Linked DNA regions of Neurospora crassa OR74A. The protein of the gene in region 1 interacts with the protein of each later gene in a pairwise test. Links are inferred from orthologs where the notes say so. Each region holds a gene or a part of one and is shown on either strand. Other genes may lie near its edges.

Evidence for each region.
Region 2: the proteins of NCU09688 (region 1) and NCU10618 interact in binary tests that used the Saccharomyces cerevisiae proteins (3 or more experiments, as listed by UniProt). The link is inferred for Neurospora crassa OR74A from reciprocal best matches to the Saccharomyces cerevisiae genes APM1 and APS1.

Annotation. Positions count from the first base shown.
Region 1 is NC_026505.1:834,838-838,590, forward strand, and holds the start of NCU09688 (AP-1 complex subunit mu), read right to left. Parts: upstream 2,180-3,753; 5' UTR 1,788-2,179; coding exon 1,749-1,787; intron 1,668-1,748; coding exon 1,539-1,667; intron 1,402-1,538; coding exon 304-1,401; intron 226-303; coding exon 145-225; 3' UTR 1-144. UniProt on the Saccharomyces cerevisiae protein: Component of the adaptor complexes which link clathrin to receptors in coated vesicles. Clathrin-associated protein complexes are believed to interact with the cytoplasmic tails of membrane proteins, leading to their selection and concentration.
Region 2 is NC_026505.1:1,564,182-1,567,899, reverse strand, and holds NCU10618 (AP-1 complex subunit theta-1), read left to right. Parts: upstream 1-872; 5' UTR 873-1,313; coding exon 1,314-1,324; intron 1,325-1,389; coding exon 1,390-1,423; intron 1,424-1,505; coding exon 1,506-1,623; intron 1,624-1,690; coding exon 1,691-1,965; intron 1,966-2,137; coding exon 2,138-2,167; 3' UTR 2,168-3,269; downstream 3,270-3,718. UniProt on the Saccharomyces cerevisiae protein: Component of the adapter complexes which link clathrin to receptors in coated vesicles. Clathrin-associated protein complexes are believed to interact with the cytoplasmic tails of membrane proteins, leading to their selection and concentration.

The sequences.
Region 1 (3,753 bases):
GAATTAATACCTGTTCTGCGGCCGCTCCCTTTCATGCCCCACCCAGCTGGTAGGTAAATTGTAGGTTTTCTGTTCCACGATCTGTCGTTTGTTTTGAAGAAAAAAAACAAGGCTTCTTCTTGCCCGTATCCAAGTCCTCGTCGTTCATACCGCGTCGGGCAATCTGACGGCGATATCTCCTGACTGCGTAATGTACCTGACCCAAGGCAAGGAGGGGTATTGTAGCTGTTTCAAATCGTCAGTAACTAGCAGCCACAGGTGCTAGAAGAAACATGGGTAAAGAAAGAAAAAAAAAAGTCTTACCTTTGGCTCCGTAATCTTCAAATACCGCACCTGAATCCCACTCGTGGTGAAATATGGAATCTCAAACTTGACCTGAATCGGCCTCTTGGCTCCTTTCCCGGGGGCACCGACACCACCCATACTGCCACCAAATCCACCCGTCATGCCACCGCCGTGCTCATCGTCGCCCCTCACACTAGGAAGACCCAGCTCCGCGCGCATCAAAAACTCCTTGCCGCCACCAAACTGCTTGATCTTCCACACGATGGCACTCTTCTCGGGCGCGTAGTGCACGCTCCCCACGTTCGTCCGGAACCGGGGCGTGTCGGCGTCGTCGGGGACCGGCACAATGATCTCCACGTTGTTGGCCGTCGAGCGGCGCTTGAACTGCGCGCGCGCTTTGAGCATGTACTCGATTCGCGAACCGGAGTGGGACTCGACCACGCACTCGACCCAGATCAGGGGTTTGACTTGGGTGTTCAAGCGGTACGACATGAGCTCGAACTCGCCGTCGGGCGGGATGAAGGAGATGGTGCGGTCGTTTTCGAAGCGCGACAGGCGTACGCACTGGTGGAACTTGACGTCTTCCATCTCAATGGCCTTTCCCCGCGTGGTGCGCCCCGTGGTCTCGAACATGACTTTGTCGTTTAGGCCCAGGCGCAGCTCGGGCATGCCGGAGAGGTAGCACTTCATTTTGATGGCGCCGAGGATTTCGGAGCGCAAGACGTTGCCGTTGGCCGAGACCAGCAGGTTGAGGGATTCGATCACGTCGAGGAACACTTCGTTCTTGCGGTAGCGGATGCCTTCGGATCGCCATGAGACGGCGTTGGTGACGGCGATGGGCGGGCGCGCTTGGATTTCGAGCTTGTGCGACTCTTGGGTGATGTACTCCTGCAGGATCTTGGACTCGGTCGTTTGCGGGTAGCCGAAATCCATCATCTCGTCCAGGAGCTCGTAGATGATGACGAAGTTGTCCCGGATCGATTCCTCTTCCAACGCTTTGAAGTACTCGGTGAAGACCTCGACGATCTTGTGCAGGAAGAGCAGGATCTCGGCGGCGTTGGTGTTGCGTTTTGTGAGGGCGAGAAGGTACAGGTTATTATGGCGGATGTAGAGGTACTATATATATTAAATGACCGAAGAAAGTGTTCAGCAAATCTGTGGCCCAAGAGGTTCTCGCAACAGCAGCAGCAGCAGCAGCAGCAGCAGCAGCAGCAGGGTGGACGACGACGACGACGGGCTTGTAGATAACATACGTTGATACCCTCGTGGGAAAAGCATGGTGGTACGGCGGACGACTCTTCTTCGGCTTCGCTTAATAGAATAGGGAACTTTTCGACGGCCGACATGGGAATATCACCGCGGTAGTTACGGGCAAGGAGGGTCTAAGTGAGGGCGCATTGGGCGGTCAGCTTTGGATGCTTTGCTGTGGACTTTGCGACACCACCAGATGAGCATTTTCCCACCTTGCCCTTGAGATCTAGAAAGAAAATGGCGGACGCCATGGTAAGCTGTGGTGTCTGTTGTTGTCTGAGGAGATTGAGTGTAGAGAGTTGTTGTTGTCGTCGTCGGCGTCGTGGTCGAGGAGAAGGTGTTGACGGAAACGGAGGAGGGGCACTGGTAATACAAGGCGCAAGCTACGATTAGGGGGGGTAATCGAGTATGGTAGGCGCGAGCGCCAAAAGTGAGTTCGAACTCGGTTCGTCAATGGGCTATAACATGCGCCGTAGGTGGTTGAAATCCTGTCGAGGAGCTGAGGGTCAAGAACTGCAAACAAAGTATCACAGTCGTTGTTGTTTATCAAAGGTGTAGCGCGGGCAAGCCACGATACCTATCCTGCAACTGAAGACGAGTGTGTGCAGTTGTCGCTATCAATACGTCGCGACAAGTGGTGACATGGAAGCGATGGTGCATCCAGATCTCGAAAAGCACAGGCCAAGAACACCCTGGCGGCCAGCAATGCCACTGCAGCCCAGAACAGAGCTCACAGCACCAAGCAGCAATGCCAAGCACTCGTGGTCAGCGAGCTTCCGCCCCTTTGTGACAAGTCTCGACGTGGAACCTTCTTCAGCTCCAGCTGTCGGTCAGCTGGTCCCCGTAGCCTTGCCAGGCTCGCTAAGTCACATCCACACCCAAGAGGGAAAGGCTTGGTAAGTCTTGGCAGGGTCGAAGGTGAACATTTTCCATTCCATCATGATGCTGCCATTTCATTTCCGTGACGGGAGCATCATCAGAGAATCGGGGTTAATTGGTCTCCAGTCCAGCTGCTCGAGCTCTCTAGGTCATCGTCGTCGGCGCAAGACCCAACAACTCAAGTGTTCCGATGGAAGGAAGTGGGGCAGACTTTCGACTCTCTTTCCCATCGGCCCCAGCTGAACTTTTGTCCGTCTTTCGAGAAAGAAAAAAAAAAGAAAAGGTCTGTGCTTCTCTGGCAGATCCACCCAAAATTCCTCCGCTCCTCGCAAGTATTTTAGAGAAACCCTTCCGTCGTTTTCAATCTTGCACCTTTTTCTCCTCTTTTTTTTTCTTCAACGCGTCCTCAGACAGTGCCGAACATCGCAAATGCACATCGGCTCCGGCATTCTGTCGGGGTTCGAACCGTGTCCTATGGTGATTCTGCGATTTCGCGACGCGGAGAAGAAGGGGATTGATTTCTTCAAATGGCTCCATAAGAGCTGCCCATGTATGTTGTCTGCCTTTGGGAAGATGACCAAAATTACTAGGGCGGCGTCAGAGGTTCCACACATTCCATCATCGTAGAAGTTGTTTTTTTTCTTGGTGTTTTGAACCTTTTTGTGTGTCTTGACGTTGATCGTTGTGTCGCGCGCAAAGCGCTATATTTTATTATCGTTTTACGCCGTCGGACACCCACCCACCCGTGTTGCGGTCTGTCCACGCCGGCCGGCCGGTAAATCTTGTGTTTGGGATCGGAGCAGCCATTCCTTCGTTCCTTGGCCGGAGGGGACGGATGACGGACGAAAACTTGGAAGCGGACCTGTTCAGTCGGCCCGTTGCACTCGACATGCTCTCACTCTCCGGTTGATTAGTGATCGATATCACCACACACACACTGCCGAAAGTCAATGCCGGAGTCGGTGCCGCAGTCAGGAGCGTTTCACCGGCTCAGCTCCCAAGAAACGCCAAAATCCGCACGTGATGATCAGCTAGTGCTCATGGTGCTCCCAATCCCGTGGCGCTGGTAGTGGTGGTTTTTTTCGTTCCTCGCCGGCGTGAGCCAGTCGACCAGTCGTGCCAGCCATGCCAGGCAGCTACGCAGTAGACTGATATGTGTCTCTGGACGAGACATCCCATCTCGGCAGCTTCACCGAGTCAACGTCTTTTCCCCCTTATTTTGTTTTCTTTCTTTTTTTCTCCCTCTTGTTCCTCGCTTGATTAGTGCGGCTGGACCCCTGGACCCTTATTTTCGGGGAGAGCAAGACAACAAATCCGCAACATAGGAAATTCAAATGG
Region 2 (3,718 bases), about 730 kb from region 1:
CTTTTGGAAATGGGTAGAAAAAAGTTAAAACGCTGGCCAGGCGCAAGACGAATCTCTCTACCTCTTGAACTTTGGACTAGATAGTGGGGTACGACTTATTTGGTTCAATGGAGCCTAGAACCGATTATTAATGATTTACTGGCATGGGTCCGGGGGTGGTTCGATTCGGGAGTATGAAGGTACCTTTTGTAAGCTTGTGATGATATGTATCACCACAAACGCCGATGGTAGGGTGGTGTTGCCAGAGATAGGCAGCTGTAACGACACAGGGGAACATCAGTTTGGAAAAGTATGAATATCCGTCGTCGACCAAGAACATAACCCAGGATAGAGGTTAGACGGAGTTTTCGCAATGTGGGATGTCCGCAGACCATAAATCGGAGAGGTCATCATCCGACTCTCGGATTTTGACCTTGCGCTAGGTGAAGCATGGCTCTACACGCAACTCCCAGGGAAGGCGCCATGAGCAAGAACAAGTGCGGACTCTCAAGCAAGTTTGTCAGAGTCGGAGATGCACGTCGCGGACATTGCCGAGAATGTCAACGGCAGCTATGCCAGCTTCGGCATCTGATGACTGTCGGTTGCGTTCTCAACCACACTTTGGTGTAGATATGCGCGGGATGCCGTAGAAGGAGAAGAAAGCAACAGCCAACCAGAAGGTCTGACAGGAACGGGATGTCTTGTTAGGTGAGGAACTGCCCGGTGAACGTGGGGAGCCTTGTACTTCTCCCACGATTAGTAGGTCATGTTCGCTTGTTGCAGCCACCAACACTGAGGAAGAGAACTAGTTGAGTCATGCCGGCAGAAGATGATAGAAAAATGAACCAGACGCCCGCTACGACTGAGGGGGTTTAATGAGAAAAGGGCTTCCCTTTTGATCCGTCCTTGAGATTTTGTGTGCGTTAAGTGGTTTGCCCAGCAACATGGGATCAGCAGAAGATAAAAAGTCAATCAACTCAATTGTCGTTAGGTACATAGACAGTTAGACGATCAACGAACTCCCATGTTAAGCCTCGATCAACTCAGGAGCACATCATCCACTATAAGACCACTAAAGAAGCCTCTGAAAACGAGAAGTGCCAGATGCACTAATAGTCTCTAGGATCGGGTAGAGCCCCACTTGCCTTGGGTCTGGTTCTTCAGGCACATTGGACGGCCGTCGTCCCGCCCCTTTGGACAGCTCCAGGCGGGAGGAGTCCAGGCTGTCGGCGTGGTGTCCTTGTCAAATTTCCCGCCCGTGACAACACCTCCATGATCACATTGTCGACTCCCGCTCAACGTGATCCCGGGTAGTTGATGGAATCATCGTCATCATGGCTATTCAGTATGCGCCCGACAGTCGCCATCTTGCTATTCACAATGAAGTCAAGCTGACCCGGAGCTCTGCAGCTATCTAATCCTCCTCTCGCGCCAGGGCAAAGTGGTGCGTCTTGCCCGCCGCGGGCGTTGCTCTCGTCCCCAACCACGCTGTCCTTCTCCCGACTAACCGCACGTCAAATATCCAGCGCCTGGCCAAATGGTTCACCACTCTGTCTCCCAAGGACAAGGCCAAGATCGTCAAGGACGTTTCCCAGCTTGTCCTGGCTAGGAGGACTCGCATGTGCAACTTTCTCGAATACAAAGGCAAGCTCCGCCAATTCTCCTGGATCGCAACATAGGGCTAACTAACTGTCTTTTTGCTCGTCTGCAGATACCAAGATTGTCTACCGCCGATATGCCTCGCTTTTCTTCATCGCCGGATGCTCCTCCGAGGACAACGAGCTGATCACCCTCGAGATCATCCATCGCTATGTCGAGCAGATGGACAAGTACTACGGCAACGTCTGCGAGCTCGACATCATTTTCTCCTTTACCAAAGCCTACTACATCCTCGACGAGCTCCTGCTGGCGGGAGAGTTGCAGGAAAGCAGCAAGAAGAATGTCCTACGATGCATATCGCAACAAGACGCCTTAGAGGACATGGAGGTGCGTACAAGCATTTGACTTGGAGCCGTGACCGCTTGCCCGGACAGAATTTGCCTTCTTCCCGCGTCGCTACGCCTACACGCTCCCCCCCCCCCCCCCCCCCCCCCCCCCTTGTTGCAATCCCTATCCGTAAACCACCGCGCTCACTGACACGTTTATTGCACTTCCTCAGGTCGAGGATGAAGTCACAAAGATCATGTAAAGGCTGATCAAGCTTTGTGGTGTCTTTTTCTCTCCATCATCACGACCGACCGAACCGGGTCCCCTCAAACACTTGCGATTGCCAATGGTCGACATTTATTTACCCCAACAGCATACGCTAATGCATACCTTTACCTCCTGATGCAGGATTTGGAAGAAATAAACAACGCACTCAAGCAGGCCGGGATTCTCTGAAGCTGTGGTAGCGACCACAGTCCCTCCGATAGGTGACGGCACCGGATGGACAGACGAGAGGGGCGACCCGAAGCACGAGAGTACAGCATATGCAACCAGGGAGGACAATAATAATCGCGCCGAGAGAAGGGGAAGCAGAGTGTGGTGTGGTGGCAGGAAGTCGGGGCTACAGTCACCCATTAGGAGGGAGCAAACTCCCTTTCCTTAATCATATAGATATGGGCATTGTAGATTAATGAGCTGCCAAAACTGAGCCACTCGGAGACCGGATACACCACTAGTGTCCTAATCATGGACGATGATGGGAGGAAACCAAGTGGAATGCGTATCCGGTACACTGGGCATGGCCTCGGCGATGTGCTTAATGATAACAACGATTCAACGACGCGTTGCCAACACCGATCCATCTGTTCATGACCTCACACATCGGGTGTATGCGCAGAAACAGATCGATTCGCTCGGGAGACGTTGGGGTGGCGTTACCTTGATGCCCACCAAGGAAAGGTTTGTCCACATCGACGTTGGAAGCAACGCTCGTGGAGGGTTGAGACGACTCTATTCGTCAGGTGGTTGTGGTTGACAATTAACATTGATGAGCAGCATTCAGGCCGGGACACACATTGACACACAGGAAGTGGAACGCACTGCGATTACTGACTGGAGGCTTCCAGGCGGAACGGCGGAGGGGAGTGAGTGGGAATGGAGACTTGGTGGTGACAAGGGAACGCCGATCACTTAGGGGGTGCGACTCCACCCGACTCGAGGAGCCAGCGGCGCATGACCGGGGTTTAGGCGGGTCGACCCCAGCAATCCCCAGCGAGCCAAGGCCAACGTGGGCTGGCGCAAGCAGGCCACTCACCCGAAAGGCCACCCACCTGTTACTGTCAGCGTCAGCGAACCGGCTCTGGCCCTGATGGCACGGCTTGGAAGGAACGTCAGATAGGTAACGAGCCATCGATGGAAAGCGAGACCGCAGCCGGGGCACCAAGGGAACATATCAATGACCAACAAGAGGACTGACTGGAGCCAAGCTGAACACAGAAGAAGCATGATGGCTGTACACTCACTATACCGACCCGATAACCGGCGGTCCCCTTGGATTCAATTCGGATGGATTGGAAAGAACATCATACACTACATGTATGGGATTTATCCAAGTTGTCCCTCCTCCCACTTTTCCCACTTTTTGTTTCCCAAACTGATCTGAACCTCACTTCAACTAAACAGCAGGACATCACTCGATATATGACGATATCGTCACCCCTATTTCTCCTCACGCTAAACTTACATCAACATCAACAACATCAAAAACCCCACTTCTAACTATCTACTGTGTACAACCACCTACACCTTTTCA